Regions from separate parts of the Mus musculus genome. Here region 2 is reported to be linked to region 1. Evidence: microRNA targets listed by miRTarBase, many of them from high-throughput screens and not tested one by one. Region 1 holds a microRNA gene; the other region holds the end of a gene's coding sequence.
What was found. Region 1 holds the annotated microRNA mmu-miR-3057-3p (UCCCACAGGCCCAGCUCAUAGC, at 4,194-4,215, shown strand). A microRNA usually pairs through its seed, bases 2 to 8, with sites in the 3' UTR of a target mRNA and lowers its output. Matches are read on the target gene's strand: a 7mer-m8 pairs with bases 2 to 8, a 7mer-A1 pairs with bases 2 to 7 and ends in A, and an 8mer does both.

Region 2: the mRNA of Milr1 is a reported target of mmu-miR-3057-3p. Seed matches in the 3' UTR shown: 7mer-m8 at 4,795-4,801.

What each region holds. Positions count from the first base shown.
Region 1 is chr10:81,267,461-81,275,462 of GRCm38, forward strand. It overlaps Mir3057 (microRNA 3057), which reads left to right and starts at 4,137; the gene lies at 4,137-4,227. Apba3 (amyloid beta (A4) precursor protein-binding, family A, member 3) reads left to right here and starts at 712. Exons shown (of 11, transcript NM_018758.2): 1 at 712-859; 2 at 1,319-2,001; 3 at 2,085-2,124; 4 at 3,508-3,653; 5 at 3,736-3,822; 6 at 3,905-4,066; 7 at 4,202-4,372; 8 at 4,725-4,937; 9 at 5,124-5,243; 10 at 5,362-5,499; 11 at 5,589-5,787. The coding sequence starts at 1,435. The coding sequence ends at 5,660. Tjp3 (tight junction protein 3) reads right to left here. Exons shown (of 21, transcript NM_013769.3): 16 at 7,714-7,784; 17 at 7,120-7,330; 18 at 6,923-7,023; 19 at 6,343-6,609; 20 at 6,189-6,235; 21 at 5,728-5,929. The coding sequence ends at 5,827.
Region 2 is chr11:106,762,616-106,770,617 of GRCm38, forward strand. It overlaps Milr1 (mast cell immunoglobulin like receptor 1), which reads left to right. Exons shown (of 7, transcript NM_001033435.3): 5 at 1,241-1,333; 6 at 2,607-2,669; 7 at 4,338-5,150. The coding sequence ends at 4,390. It overlaps Polg2 (polymerase (DNA directed), gamma 2, accessory subunit), which reads right to left. Exons shown (of 8, transcript NM_015810.2): 8 at 5,589-5,856. The coding sequence ends at 5,691. Among named protein-coding and RNA genes, the nearest start is that of Polg2, 13 kb to the right of the region's middle.

The DNA.
Region 1 (8,002 bases):
ATGGGAGTGATGAACCCCAGCTTAATCCCCACACTTGGGAGGCAGAGGTAGGTAGATGCCTGTGAGTTCCTGGCCAGCCTACTCTACATAGTGATACGTATGTGTTCTATTCACTAATAGAAAAAAGTGGGGTTTGGTGATTGGGGCTTCGTAGCAGAAATGGAGGCTGGATGCACACAGGAAGCTGAGGCAGGAGGATCAGGAGTTTGAAGCCAGCCTAGGCTACATGAGACTCTCAAGAATAAATAGACTAGTACTAGAATCTTCTAGACTCATTGCTAACAAACCTAACCAGGTGAACTCTTTTTAGATCACACAGTTAAGTTTAGGAATTATCATTGTCCCTAATCTATATGTAGGACCGTGATGCAAATTCCAGTGTCAACTCAAGTCTAGATTGTACCGTTATAGATCCTTACTGGGATACAAAGTGGAAGTCCGTCCTCAATAACTTCCATTCCCACTTTTCCTTTGCACTCCAAATTTTCAAGTCATGGCTCTCTTTACCATCCCTGGTTTCTGCCCATGTCCTACCTCAGCCGTTACACTCTGAAGTGATGCAGAACCCGATTTTAGAAAAGAAAAGCCAGTTTGAGCCTCGCCTCCGTTCTTGTAGTCTCGGGATTCGAACCTGAGCTCTACTATCTATACTGCAACACTGGCGAGTCCCCGGAAGGAGAGAGAGCGGACTCGAGGACTACATTTCCCAGCAGGCCGTTTGAGAGTGTGTATGCGCAATAGTCCTGGATGGTGCAGTGACCGATGATCCGGTTCCAAAGCTGGGATCCCAGAGAGCTGCTGACTCTTCTGGAAGGACGGGCGGACCGTCCGGACAATCCTGCCCGGGCCGGAGACACAGGTACTGCGGGCCGTGCGGGACTGGACAGGCTCCCGTGGGTGACCCAAGGGCAGTGTCTGAGTTCTGAGACTGAAATCTGAGTTCTGGGGACGGAGCCTGAGTTTCAAGGGTCAGAGCCTGAGTTCTAGGGGCTAGAGGCTGAGTTCTCAGGACCAGTGCCTGAATTCTGGGGCAACAGCCTGAGTTCCACGACCTAAAGCCTGAGTTTTGGGGCTGGAGCCTGAGTTCTAGGGTCCGGAGCCTGGGTTTTTGAGACCAGAGCCTGAGTTCTAGAGACAGAAGCCTGAGTTCCCGGGGGCAGTGCTTGAGTTCCCAGGGGCAATGCCTGAGTTCCATAGCCGCAGCCTCAGTTCTAGTGTCTGTTGCTTGAGTTCTGAGGTCTGGAGCCTGAGATCTGGGGCAGGCACCTGAGTTCTTTGCTGGCTTCTGTGTAAAATGGGGTCCTTTCCTCCTGGGCAGGCCCCATGGGGATGGAATCTGTCACCTGTAGGACCATGGCTTGCCTACGAGATCCACACTCAGAGCCCTCATCTTCCAGCTTGGTGACAATGCCGGCCTGAACCTGGGTCTCAGACATGGAGTTCCTGCCAGGACCCCAGCATCCCCCAGGGCCCCCAACCATGGACTTGGAGGAGCCCAAAGGCCCCGAGGTGCCCTCTGAGAACCACCCCTCTAACACCCAGTCGGCCTTAGGGCCTGGAGGCCCTGTCACCCTGAGTGAGATGGAGCTGGACACATCCAGTGTGCAGGAGCTGGTTCAGCAGCTAGAAGCTCTACCCAGCGACCTGGGTGGCCCATTCCCAGATGGAGCCCCCTGTCCCCTGCACATTGCTACCGGCCAAGGACTTGCCACCCAGGAGAACCCAGATGCTGGTGGGCTCTTGTCGGCCGAGGCAGGCGGGGACGACCTTCTGGGTCTGCTGAGGGATGAGGCCTCTTCGCCTGCCCAATCTGTCCCCCAAGATCCTGCACAGACTGCACCCCGCCTTCTGCAGCCGCCAGAGGACCCTGATGGGGACCCGGGATGGATGGAAGGGGCATCAGCAGAGCCAGCAGACAGCAGGAGCTCCAGCAGTTCCCCGGAGCCCTGGCTGGAGACAGCACCCCTGGTGACACAGCAGGAACCACCTGTGGGTACCCAGGTAATAGTGCTCGCCTCTCTGACCTCTGACTTCTGACCCTCAGCCATGACTGGGGACTCAGCCCTGCACCTCTTATCTTCCAGAGCCGGGAGACCCTGGCCTCGTGCCCTGCCGTCACCGAGGGTGAGTGTCCATTTTTACACAGAAATCAGAATGTCCTAGAACAGCCCAAAAATGGGCTCTCAAGTAATGACACAAAGTTTGCCAGTGATGATCAAGGTCTAGAGAGGACTGAATGAGAGCAGATCTTAGACGGCCAAAGAGGTGACATAAGCTGTAGAATGTTCTAGAAGCCATGCTGGTTTAGCACACTGGTTGACAGAGGATAGCTCCAGGCTGCTCTGGGGAGTTTTGAGAGCTAAAGATGGCATTTACAGGGCTGGCGAGATGGCTCAGTGGGTAAGAGCACTGACTGCTCTTCCAAAGGTCCTGAGTTCAAATCCCAGCAACCACATGGTGGCTCACAACCACCAGTAATGAGATCTGAATCCCTCTTCTGGTGTGTCTGAAGACAGCTACAGTGTACTTACTTATTATTATATATATAATACATATATATATGCATATATATGTATATATCTTTTTAAAAAAAGCCAAGCAGTGGTGGTACACGCCTTTAATCCCAGCACCTGGGAGGCAGAGGCAGGAGGATTTCTTAGTTTGAGGCCAGCCTGGTCTACAGAGAGAGTTCCAGGACAGCCAGGGCTATACAGAGAAACCCTGTCTCGAAAAAAAACAATAAATAAATAAATAAATATTCATGGGTGGGATTGTTTCAGGGCTATCGAGGACCCAGACTTTGAGACGCTCCAGGCTGACTGAAGAGAATTCTAGATCATCATGGATTTTTATCTTATTTCTTTTTCTTTTGGTTATTTTTGGTTTCTCTGTGTAGCCCTGGCTGTCCTGGAACTCACTCTGTAGACCAGGCTGGCCTTGAACTCAGAGATCCGCCTGCCTCTGCCTCCCAAGTGCTGGGATTAAAGGCGTGTGCCACCACGCCCGGCCTTGATCTTCTGTCTTTTTTTTTTGCATTTATCGAATATGGCAGAGGATCACTTGTGGGAGTTAGTTCTCTGCCCACCTTGTGGTATCCCAGGGATCAAACTCAGGGTATCTTACTTGGCTGAAAATGCCTTTACCCATTGAGCTAAATTGCTGGCCCTGCCCTGCCTGATTCCAGAATGTTAGGGACTCACGACACCACCGTGAGGCCCTGAGCTCTGACTCTTGGTCAGAAGGTTCTGGAAGAGGGGTCTTTGAGCCCTGCAACCTGTTTTGGGTCCATTCCTCCTGAGGGTGCCTCATAGTAGGGGTGACACTTCTTAGGATCCCTGAAAGTGGCAGGTACAGAGCTGGCCACCGCACACTGAGCCTCTGGAGTCTTCTAGTACAGGATCTTGTGCATGCTAAGCCGTGGACAGAACCATGAGTTTCTTGAGCAACAGCTCAGGGATTGGGGACCTCAGAGCCTGTAGAGGTCGCACCCCTCACTGTCATCTGCAGTCCCAGGTCCCTGTGGGCCGGAGGAGCTCATGGATGGTGTCATCTTCGGGGCGAAATACCTGGGCTCCACCCAGCTGCTGTCAGAGCGCAGCCCGGCGCCCAGCACACGCATGGGGCAGGCGCAGGAGGCCATGGACCGCGTCAAGGTGAGCCAGGGTGGAGTTCCTGGGCTGTTGGATTCCATGTCCCAACCACCTCTAACTTCTGTGTCCCCTTCCTACCCTGCAGGCCCCTGAAGGCGAGACCCAGCCCATGGTGGAAGTGGACATCTTTATCTCCACCAAGCGTGTCAAAGTGTTGGCTGCTGACTCCCAGGTACCCAGAGGGCTGGGCCTTGACTGTCGTGGACACTTGGGGTTCCTGAGAGGCCCCCAGCCCACCCAGCGCATGTCCACAGGATGCCCTGATGGACCATGCCCTGCAGACCATCTCCTACATCGCAGACATTGGGCCTGTACTGGTCTTGATGGCCCGGAGGCGGCTGGCCAGGAGGACAACTCCCCAGGACCGCCAGCGGCGACTCTACAAGATGCTGTGCCATGTCTTCCACTCAGAGGATGTGAGCAGCCGTGAGCTACGCCCCCTCCAGAGCATCTAAGAACCCTTGACTTAGAAACCTTGAGGTGTCCTGAAGGTGTGTGCATTGGAGCTGAGATTCTGCGGGATGGATTAGGAGTATATTGTCCTCCCACAGGCCCAGCTCATAGCACAAGCCATCGGCCAGGCCTTCAGCATCGCCTACAGCCAGTTCCTACAGGAGAACAGGATCGACCCCAGCCAGGTGGGCACGCAGCCCTCAACCGCTGCCAGCCACCCGCACAACGGCGACCTGGACCACTTCTGCAACAGCCAGAACTGTAGGGAGGTGAGTGCTTGCTCTGCCACAGCACACACAGAGCCACCCAAGGGACCATGGACCTATCCCCTGGCCTGCTGAGCCCACCCCACCGAGACCTGGCCCCATACTCCCTGGACACGGCCCCGCCCCCTTTGAGACCCCACCCCCTCCCTGAGCACACCCGCATTGGGCCTGATCCCACACTTCCCCTGAATGGGACCCTGCCCCCCTCCCCGAAGTTGAGCCCTCCCTACACCTGGCTTGGCTCTGCCTGCTCTATCTCTAAGTGCAGCTTCTCCCACACTGCCCCTGAATGTGGTCCTGCCCCTCCTGGGACCCCACCCCACACCCTGCCCCCTGAACTTGGTTCTGCTCCCAGGTTTGCATCCAGAAGCGGCCAGGTGAAGGCCTGGGCGTCGCGCTAGTTGAATCAGGCTGGGGCTCGCTACTGCCCACTGCGGTCATTGCCAACCTGCTCCATGGGGGCCCTGCCGAGCGCTGCGGGGCCCTGAGCATAGGGGACCGCGTCACTGCCATCAATGGAACCAGCCTGGTGGGGCTGTCGCTGGCTGCCTGCCAGGCTGCGGTGCGCGTGAGTCAAAGTTCTGTGGGCGGGGTTCCCAGGGGCCTTGTAGGGTGCATAGGAGCCCATTAACAGGGTCTCCTAAGTTAAGTGACTGTATGGTACCACTGATTGCATCCCCATGTTGCCTGGGAGATTGACGGGTGGGTAAACTGATGCCCGCAGAGGCCTGAGCAGCATGGTGGGTCCCCCCAGGAGGTGCGGCGACTTTCATCCGTGACGCTGAGTATTATCCACTGCCCACCGGTCACCACGGCCGTCATCCGCCGGCCCCACGTGCGCGAGCAGCTGGGCTTCTGTGTGGAGGATGGAATCGTGAGGCTGGGAACCCCCCCCCCCTAGGCCGGGTGTGGGGAATGGGCTAGCATACAGCCTAGGGAGTGGAGGCTAGCCTATAGCCTAGGGGCAGGTCCTGAGAGTTGTCCCCCCTCAGATTTGTAGCCTGCTGCGTGGGGGCGCTGCTGAGCGTGGTGGAGTCCGCGTTGGACACCGCATCATTGAGGTCAACGGGCAGAGCGTGGTGGCTATGCCCCATGCGCGCATCATCCAGCTGCTCACAGAGACAAGAGAAGTGCGTGGGAGTCACCTGACCCCGTCACCCCTGATCCTGTCCTACCCAAACCAACCCCGTCTACCTGACTCTTCATCTCTGACCCCTAGATCCACATCAAGACCATGCCAGCTGCCACCTACCGACTGCTCACGGGACAGGAACAACCAGTATACCTATGACTGCCCCACCCATGTGTGCCTTCATCCCTGCCACCGTCACTCCTTCACTGGCAGGGACCAAAGAGTCCTCAGTCTTGTATTATTTTCTAATATAAAAAATTTTTTTTAAAGATTTATTAAGTGGTCAGAAGCTTGAGGGCTTGTGGCACGCTGGTGACTGCATAGGTCACAGGTCGGTGGCTGGGCCCCAGTCATAGCCCTCGTCATCAGAGGATTCCACATCCCGGGCTCTTGTGAACTTCTTCCTCAGGGCCTCGTGCTTGTAGGTCCTGGGGGACAGGAGGCAGGTGCTGGGCCTTGGTGGCTGGGTGTGCTGTGTGACCTCACCCACCCGCACTGACCCCACCCGGCAGGGTGGGCACAGGGATGAGCAAGGCCGGGTATTTAAATGTGGGTTGGGACTTGAAACTCCTTCATATCCTACAAAGCCCAGCCCCATCACCCATTCCTTCAGGAAGCCCTCAACCATGTGGAGTGTGGAGTGGCCCAGCAAAAGCTCTCAGGCCTGCATCCTTCCTGGGCACCTACCGCATGCTGTCCTGGCGCCGCTGGTCCTGGGTGTAGTGGCTGTCAGCCTGGGAAAGGAGAAAGGCAGTGACCCCAACTGACATGCGTGGAGGGCATTGTACTGGGAGTCGGGGGTGTGATTATGTCCTCCTATCCTGCAGGGCCAAGTACCCACCTGTGTCTCCCATTTGTCTGTGATAGTTGTCCCATGACCCATCAGCCCCTGGTGATCATCTACCCATACGGGCTCTGAGGACCGGGCCAGGGCTGTGGGTGCGACCTCCTCATCGACATCCTGGGGTCCGCCCTCTCTGTCCGTATAGGCGCCCTCGCCGTCGGTGTCCTCATAGTCGCTGTTGGTCCGACTGTCACAGCTGAGGTCTCCAGAGCTGGCGGCCAGACCATGGCCCGGCAGGTCAAGGTCCTCGGATGAGCTGTTCAGCTGTGGGGACGGGTATATTGTAATCTCAAGGGAAGCCGAGGTCCATACTCTGAATGCCAGCCTCTAGTCACCCATGGACCTGTGACGAGTGCTTCTGGATTCTAAGTCAAGTCCCAAATCTGAGATCGAGGCCTTCAACTCTGACCAACTCCTAAGCACTCCACAAACTCCCAGCCCCATTATCCACCCCTTTAGGCTTTCTTCCCTAAGGACTCCTTTGGTACTATATTGGCTACTGGGTACTAGGACGCCACAGTGTGGATGCCTATGGGGTTCACCTGGGCTATGGCTATGGCCTCCCTCTACCAAGCACCTGGTCCTCCGCGGTCCAGATCGGTCGCGCCTGCTGTTGCTGTATTACAGCCTTGACTTCCTGGTACCAGGAGTCACTAGTGCCATGCAGGGGGATGGTGGCTGCGGGGGTGAGGGGGTGCAGAAGGAGAGACAGAGCTAAGTCAGCAGGCAGGAACTACCGCCCCCACCAGAGCCCCCATCCCCACCCCTGCGCACCGGTGAAGAGGTGGCCACTGTGTTTCTGCAGTTTCTGGGCCTGCGCATACAGGCGGCGGCTGCTGCGGCGAGAGGCCGGGGCCAGCCACTCCCGGAGGGCCTTGAGGGCCGGCCGGCTCTCTGGGGCACAAAAGATGACGATGGGGTAGTACTGCACGTAGTTGAGGCGCTCGATGGCAGAGGGGGTGACATCCAGGAGTGCGTGCTTATCCTAAGACAGACGGAGTGTCTGTGGTAACAGCGGACCACAGCTTCTCACGGCCAGTTTTGTGTCTGATCCTGGGTCTCATCTATTGGCCAGATCTTTGGGAATCCCAGGAATCCCCCTGCCTCAGCATCGAGGGAGCTGGGATTACAAATGTACTCGGCCACCTCCACAGCTGAGTGGTCTTGTGTCACTTTTTACTTTTTTGTCCCTTTGAGACAGGTCTCTCTGTGTAGCTTAGTTTTAGGCTCACGACAGTCAGCATCCGGAGTGCAGGCTCAGGGGTGTGGACCTGAGTCCCTCAGGAGCCCCCAGCACCCAGCTCCCTGGAGGTAACTCAGGGTGAAGCTGGGACACAGAACATGGCGCTTCCCCATCCCCGTGCTTACCCTCTCTGCGATCACCCGCACTGTGTCCAGTTTGATGATCTTGGATGGGCTGTCAGTCCGGGACATGCTTTCTGAGGAGGCAGGGGGATGCCACTTATGAGGGTATATCCATGGTGCTCAGGCCCTTCTCGAACCTACTGTGACCCTTATACGGGGGTTGGGAGGTGTCCTACGAAGCCTGACTCCCCATACTGCAGCTGTCCCCACTGCACACAATTTCAGCCCCCATCCCAATTCCTGTCCCTGTGGCTATACGGCTATGGGGACTGCAGGGGCCTTCCAGGAGCCA
Region 2 (8,002 bases), not on the chromosome of region 1:
GGGGCTGTGGTGTTTGGTTTCCTTTGCATATCAGATCTTTCCTTTTAAGGCTGGAGAACCAGCTGATTTGCGTGAAAGCCTCTGGTTATTTCCCCACACTGGTCCCCATGCTTGGCCACTGTCAACAGTGCTTCTGACATTCACTGCATTGCGTGTAGTCTGTGCAAAGCAGAAGCCCCTCAAAGGGCGGAGCCTTCTGCTTCTCAGCTGTCCCTGGGGGGGCGGGGGGGGGGGGAGCTTGGTGTGTGAACAAGTCTCTGTCTTCCCAATAGGGACAACAACAAACCTTCACTCTCTGGGTAGAAGATTCTCCCTGCTCACCTCTCAGCCCTTCGCTGGTAAAGATTTCAAAGTGGCCCTTTCACTGGGCGCACATATGTGTGGAGAAATATCTAGATTTGCATAAAATAGCATTTGTGTCGCAAGCACACAAGGTGCCAGGCCCAGGGCTGTTGGGTACCTGGCGCCTGCCTTTGTTTCTCCCGGCCTCCGCCTTCCGGCCTATGGAATAGGGCTGTGGAGATACTGTCTGAATTAGTGAGACTCACAGATATCAGGTCCCTGTGCTCTCTCCATCTCTACATGGATAAGGGTCACGGAGGGCAGCAGCACTCAGCTGATACAAAAGCAATGGTACGGCCCCTGCTTAGCTTACACAAGACCCAGCACAGACTCCAAGACAAACCCATACTCTTAAAGCCCCTTGAAAACAGACACCCTACTTAACCCAGCTTCTCAAACATCTCAACAATGAAATCACCCTGAGTTTTTGCCCAAGTGCCATGAAGATGTTTGGTGGAACATGCTGCTGATCCCAGCATTTGGGAGGCAGAGGCAGGCAGACCTTTGAGAGTTCAAGGCCAGCCTTGTATACTAAGTGAGTTTCGGGACAGTCAGGGCTACACAGAGAAACCCTGTCTCAGAAAAATGAAACCAACCAATCAACCAAAAAAAAAATTTTTGATTCCTGCCAACATAGAAGTTAGTTGTATTGCTCATCTCTTGAAGATAACTCAAGGCTCTCTACTCCATTTCCTCCCAGGGCCTGGTCGGGAGGACCCTGATCCAGATGACTCTGTGCTATATAGAAACCTGTGATCCCCCCCCCCCCCGCCATTAGTTGAAGCCACTGGCATGTCACTTAGAATCATGAGAGATTCTTCCCCTTGGCAGAGAAGAAAGGAAAAACATGTCTAGATAGTTCAACCTAATGATTATGTCTTGCTTTGTGGGGGAGCAGGAAAGAAGACTCAGAGAGAGGACCAGTCCAAGGGTTCTGGAGATGCGCCTGCACAGGACGAGCTGTATGTCAACGCCTGCAAGACTCAGACAGGTAAAGGGCTTTGCTGGCTGTTTTGAGCAGTCTGGTTGTTTGGTCTGGGGGTGACTGTATACACAGGTGTGTATACACGTGTATATATGCCATGGCACTGGTTCTTGACCCCAAGGTGTCCACACATGCTAGATAAGTACTCTACACAGCGCTGCTTATTTAAAATAAAATGAAATAAAAATAAAATAATTCTCCAGAGACACAGGCTATTTTTTAAAAAAGGAAGCAAAATAATAACCATATCAGCTTCCCACCTCTGCCTCCCGTCTCCCAGGGTCTTCGGCCAGTGTTCAGAGCCCCTCCCAGATGGGTGATTTTCCATTCTATCCTTTGATATTTTTTTTTTCAGGTGATATATTTTAGAGATGACTTTCTTTCAGTTTGGGATGACCCACGCTCTATCCCAGTCTCTTGTGATCATTGTTTAAAGAAGTTTATGTTGTTCATTTGTTTTCTTTTCAGAGTCATGCCAAGTAGCCCAGACTAGCTTCGAACTTGTTACCCTCCTGCCTCAGCCTCTTGAGTGCTGGGATCACCGGACTATGATACTACATCCAACAAACTGCTCTTTAAAAATATCAGTCTTGACAACAAATGAAAACTGTATTAGCATCTAGCCTAGGTCAGCTTTGTACTCACTGTGTAGCCCAGGATGATCTCAAACTCCTAACAATCCTCCCAGGTCCTAGGATTACCAATGGGACTTAATTTGTGTGTCATCTTTGCATAGAGGCCATGAAAACCTTCTCTGTGCGTCTTTCTATTTTAGTCTGCATGCTGCAGAATCGAGCACATCTCATTCTTGTTTGCTGGTTTGTCTTTTACAATGCTTGGGATCAAACCCAAGGGCGCCACCCGTGCCAGTCAAGTGCTAGAGAAAACGAGATAAAACTGCTTCCTTAGCGCTTTACAGGGCTGCAGTATTAGCTAGAGTCACCCAACTGTACACTATTTAGTCACTTATCAAAGCAGACATTGTATGTCGGATGCTTCATGGTGGAAAGGCCCAGCTAACAAAGGCCTCCAATTTAATCAGCCCCTCAGAGCCCTTTGTACGTTTTGAGCACTGTGTAAGCCCTGATACACCAGCACCAGCTCCCAGTTTCTGGTGTTCCCTTCTTGCCAAGGAGGAGCCTGGGTCGGGGCTGGGAGTGACAATGTGTTTCCACAACCCCAGTGGGGAAGTGCTTGGTCTAGGCCCCACACCACTGCCCTCCCATGGACAGAGGATCCAAGCTCTGGCCCAGTAACACTTATGCCCTATCTTTTGCAGAGCAACCCCAGGAGATACACTATGCCACTCCAGTCTTCAAGGAGATGGCACCCATGGAAGAAGGTGAGTGGTGATAGGACAAGAGATGCTGTAGCAATGAGTCCCCGAGACATCACTGTGAACAGGGGCTTTGTATCTAAAGAGGGGTTTGCGGACTCCAGGCTCCCAACAAATCAACACTAACCAATCACAACTCCTACTAATGTAATTAATGTAACTTTAATATAATCACAGTGACAGCTGTAGAAGTGCGTGTAGGGAAAGCAGGGTAGGGGCTATCCTCTAAATACTTCCAAGACAGGCTGGAGAAATGGCTTTGCATTTATGAGCGTGTACTGTGCTCCAGAGGACCCGAGTTCACATCCCAGCACTCATATCCAGTGGCTTAGGACCCATTGCTACTTCAGCACCAGAGATATCTGTGCTTCTGGTCTCCACGGGTACTTATGTTCACATGTACATACTGCCACACCCCCATTAGTTAAAATTAAAATAAAATCTCCTTTTTTCTTCTGGGATATCTCTCATTCATTCTCTCTCTCTCTCTCTCTCTCTCTCTATATATATATATATATATTAGACTATCTATCTATCTATCTATATTAGATTTATTTATATGCGTACACTGTAGCTGTCTTCAGACACACCAGAAGAGGGCACAGGATATCATTACAGATGGTTGTGAGCCACCATGTGGTTGCTGGGAATTGAACTCAGGACCTCTGGAAGAGTAGTCAGTGCTCTTAACCTCTGAGCCATCTCTCCAGCCCTCTTCTGGGTTTTTCAAGGCAGGGTTTTCTATGTGTAGCTCTGATAGACCAGGCTGGTCTTCAACTCAGAAAGGTGGTGGTGGAACACACCTTTAATCCCAACACTCTGGGAGTCAGAGGCAAGCAGATCTCTGTAAGTTTGAGGCTAGCCTGGTCTACAGAGTGAGTTCCAGGACAGCCAGAGCTACCCAGAGAAACCCTGTTTTGAAAACACAAACAAACAAACAGATTAAATAGAACCTCAACAACTCAACAATGCCCCCCTCCCCCAAAAGAAGTTCCCAATAGAGGACACAGGGTCACTACTAAAACATTTTCAGGAAGAAATCAGTGCTGGGGAGATGGCTCTGGGGCTAAGAGCACTTACCTACCTCACTTGTGTGAGGATTTGAGTTTGAATCCTGATCTCTTATGCAAAAAGCTGTGCTTGGGCCTGTGAGATGCAGAGATGCAGAGACTTCTGGGGCTCACTGGCATCCAGCCTAGCTTCAGGTTTAGTGAAAGACCCTATCTCAGGAGAATAAGGTAGGAAGTGATAGGACGGGAAATGTAATGGCCTCCTATGGCCTTCATGACCCCCCATATACACCACACACACACACACACACACACACACACACACAGAATAAATTGTTATTAAACTGGAAAAGACCAGTTAATACTTGCTTCTTTCAGGTTGCCCATCTAGAAATGGGGATTTTAAATAAAACTAATCTATTATATTTACTTCTTGTGTATGGGCCAGCATATGCCATGGTATGTGCAGGAAGTCAGGACAAGCTGGAGGAGACAGCTCTCTCCTTCCTCCGTGTGGAGCCCTGGCATAGAACTGATGTCATCAAGCTTGGTGGCCAGTGCTGTTGGCCCCTAAGCCAACACACCCGAGAAGGGCGTTCTTTTTAAGAGTTTCTATGAACTCATGGCTGTAGCTTACTGAGTTATTGTCTCTCTTCAATTTCAGAAGGTGGTACGGATGGAAAAGCTGATTACATCTACTCTGAACTCACCCACTGAAGTGTGAAGAAACTGACTGTATCCCAGTGTAAAGACTTTCCAGTAAGCTGTGTATGAGAAAATAGGAAACTCACCTGGCACTTAAGAGTTCCATTCTAGGCTGAGGCAGGAGGATCCTGAGTTTGAGGCCAGCTGGGACTACATAGCAAGACCTTGTCTTAAAACACAAAATCAAAAAAAGATTTAACCTGGTCACCTATAGTGAGTGTATTTTACACATCTGGACACTATTTCTTTGGCTAATTTGGGCACTAATCTTGTTATCCAAGTAGCCAGGCTTGATAAGAGTTAAAACATACTTAGGTTTTGTGGCCTTCCACCTTCTCCCTTCCCAACACAATTATCTTGGGGCCGAGGAGGTGGTTCAGCAGTTAAGAGCAGACACTAGGGCTGGTGAGATGGCTCTGTGGGTAAGAGCACGGACTGTTCTTCCATCAAGGTCCTGAGTTCAAATCCCAGCAACCACATGGTGGCTCACAACCAACCATAATAAGATCTGATGCCCTCTTCTGGCGCATCTGAAGACAGCTACAGTGTATTTATGTATAATAATAAATAAATCTAAAAAAAAAAAAAAAAAAAAGAGCAGACACTACTCTTCCAAAGGATGGGAGTTTGAGTCCAGAGTCTACATCCCACAACTCAAGCTGCCAATAACATTGTTTCCAAAGGATCCATCGCCCTCTTCTGGCATCTGCAGGCACTACACTCATGTGCACAGACACACCTAAACACATAATTAAATAAATTGGAGTTGGAGAGATTTTCTTTTTCTTTTTTAAGACATGGTTTCTCTGTGTAACCCTGGCTGTCCTGGAACTCACTCTGTAAACCAGACTGGCCTCAAACTCAGAGATCTGCCTGCCGCTGTCACCCGAGTGCTGGGAAGAAAGGTGCATACCACTATGCCTGGCTAGTTTTGTGTTCTTAATAAACCATGTCTTTAGTTAGGGTTTTACTGCTGTGAACAGACACCATGACCAAGGCAACTCTCATAAAGGGCAACATTTAACTGGGTCTGGCTTTCAGGTTCAGAGGTTCAGTCCAGTATCATCAAGGCAAGAGCATGGCAGTGTCCAGGCAGGTATCTTAAAGCCCACACCCACAGTGACACACGTACTCCAAGGCCACACCTCCAAATAGTGAAACTCCGTGGGGCCATATTCAAACCACTACAGACCATATCAAAAGGACAATAAAAAATGAATCAAATATCTACTTTATAAATACAAAAGTCCAAAACTGTATTAATGTAAGCGAATGAACTCAACAGAGAATATTTATTAGAGAATATGAAGACCTACACATTGCTAGCTGACGCTAGGTACTTGACCAGGAAGTCTCTCAGCTTGGATATGTGCATCATTTCCTTCATCGTGGTGTCTCTGCTCCGCAGCTGGATTAGCCCATTTTCCAGCGTAGTCTCAGTGACCAGAACTGAGAAGAGGACACTCATCTCATCGTACCTGAGAGAACGGTTCAATGAAACGCATGAGCGCCTGGGCAGACATCAGCTCCTCATCTCATGGACACCCCTGAGCCTGAGCTGCTCTCAGCTCAGTCAGGTGGTCCTTTACGAAGGGCCGAATCATGCCCTACCCCCACTCCCACTTCTAAAGCATACTCAAAGGGAAGGTTTGAGCTTACTGTGTTGGCACCTAAAGGGGTACTATAGATGGCACCTGAAGGGGTACTATAAATGAATTCCTCAATGACCTCAGTGTTTTGAATTCAACTTTAATGATAGCAAACTATTTGCAGACAAAACTCTCTTAGAATAAACCATATTAAAAAAACATAAGGATTTGGAATACAACAGATCACAACAAATCCATACTCCATTTATGACTTAACATGTTACTTGCTGTTTCTAATTCGTTAATCATTGAATGAAACACTAGCCTTCCCGCTTTCCAAAATCTACTAAAGATGAATTTTTAAACATTTTACTGCCGGGCAGTGGTGGCACGTGCTTTTAATCCCAGCACTTGGGAGGCAGAGGCAGGCGGATTTCTGAGTTCGAGGCCAGCCTGGTCTACAGAGTGAGTTCCAGGACAGCCAGGGCTACACAGAGAAACCCTGAATCAAAAAAACCAAAACCAACCAACCAAAAAACCAAAACCATCTTACTGATTTTCACTTTACGCACATGAGTGTTTTACTTGTATGTATATCTGCATGGGCCTGGTGCCTACGGAGGCCACAAGAGGGAATTGGATGCCCTGAAACTGGAGTTAATGAACAGTTGTGAGCTGCCACATGAGTGCTGGTCACCAAATCTGTGTTCTCTGGTAGAGCAGCCAGTGCTCTTAACTACTGAGCCTTCTTTCTGGCCCCAAACATTCAGTTTTTAAAAACTAGGCATGTGGATTATATGTCTATGATCCCAACACTCAGGAAGGGGAGGCAGGACAATCGAAGTTCAAGGTAATAATACTCAACTACATACTGAGTTCAAGGCCAGCCCAGGGCAAGGCTGAGATGCTATAGAGGACGTACGTTGCATACAGATAAGTACTAGGGAACCAGGAATGGTTAAAACATGAATACTCCTCTCTTCAAAGGAAGGACATGTTTACCTGTCTTCCATCTGAAATGCGAAAAGGGTGCAGGTTACAGTCTGGTGATGTTTTGTAATCTGTAGGGCCAGGCATCACCTGAATACCCCGGAATATTACTTTTGTTTATTCCAGGCTACCCCCAAAATCTTAAGCATTGCTTCTCACTCCATAAAATCCACCTCTGAGATGTCACTTCACAGCTAAGTGACTTCTAAATTCTCTTAGGGCTGGGCCAACCCTGACTCCCTCAGACCTTCTCCTAGAGCCTTATCTAGGGCATTGTTTCTAAGTCAGCAGAACCCATCTCTATGGGAGAAGCATATGGACTTTGTACAGAGTTACACTGTAAATACTTTTTTTTTTTAGAGTTATTTATTATTATATCTAGGTACATTGTAGCTGTCTTCAGACACACCAGAAGAGGGCATCAGATCTCATTGCAGATGGTTGTGAACCACCATGTGGTTGCTGGGATTTGAACTCAGGACCTTTGGAAGGACAGTCGGCGATCTTAACTGCTGAGCCATCTCACCAGCCCCCCCATGTAAATGCTTCTTAAGCCTTGTTTTACACTAGGGACTGAGTTAACTGTCTTCAGGAAACTTTTCCAAAATTGTACAGCGCGTAAATATGACTAAATGAAAGCACCTGGTGTGAGACTCCGGAAGTCTGACCTAGCACTGGCTGAGTTGGGCTGAACCGAGTTCCACTCCCGTCTCTCCCAGGATTATATTGCTGCAGGTTGCAGAGTTTGCAGGGATCCCCACAGATGCAGTCTCAAAAAACAAAAACAAAACAAAACAAAAAACCACAAAAACCCTGTAACTCCAGTTCCTGGGGATCTGGTGCCCTCTTCTGTCCTCTGTGAGCACTGCACACACATGGTGCACAGATATGCATCCAGGCAAAATACTCATGTACTAAATTAAAAAAAAGTAACAACAACAACAACAACAACAACAAAAGGATTCTGGACTGCAAATATGTGTCATGGCACACCCACAGAGAGAAAGAAACCTAGAGAAAAATTTAAATGACACTCCCTCCCAAC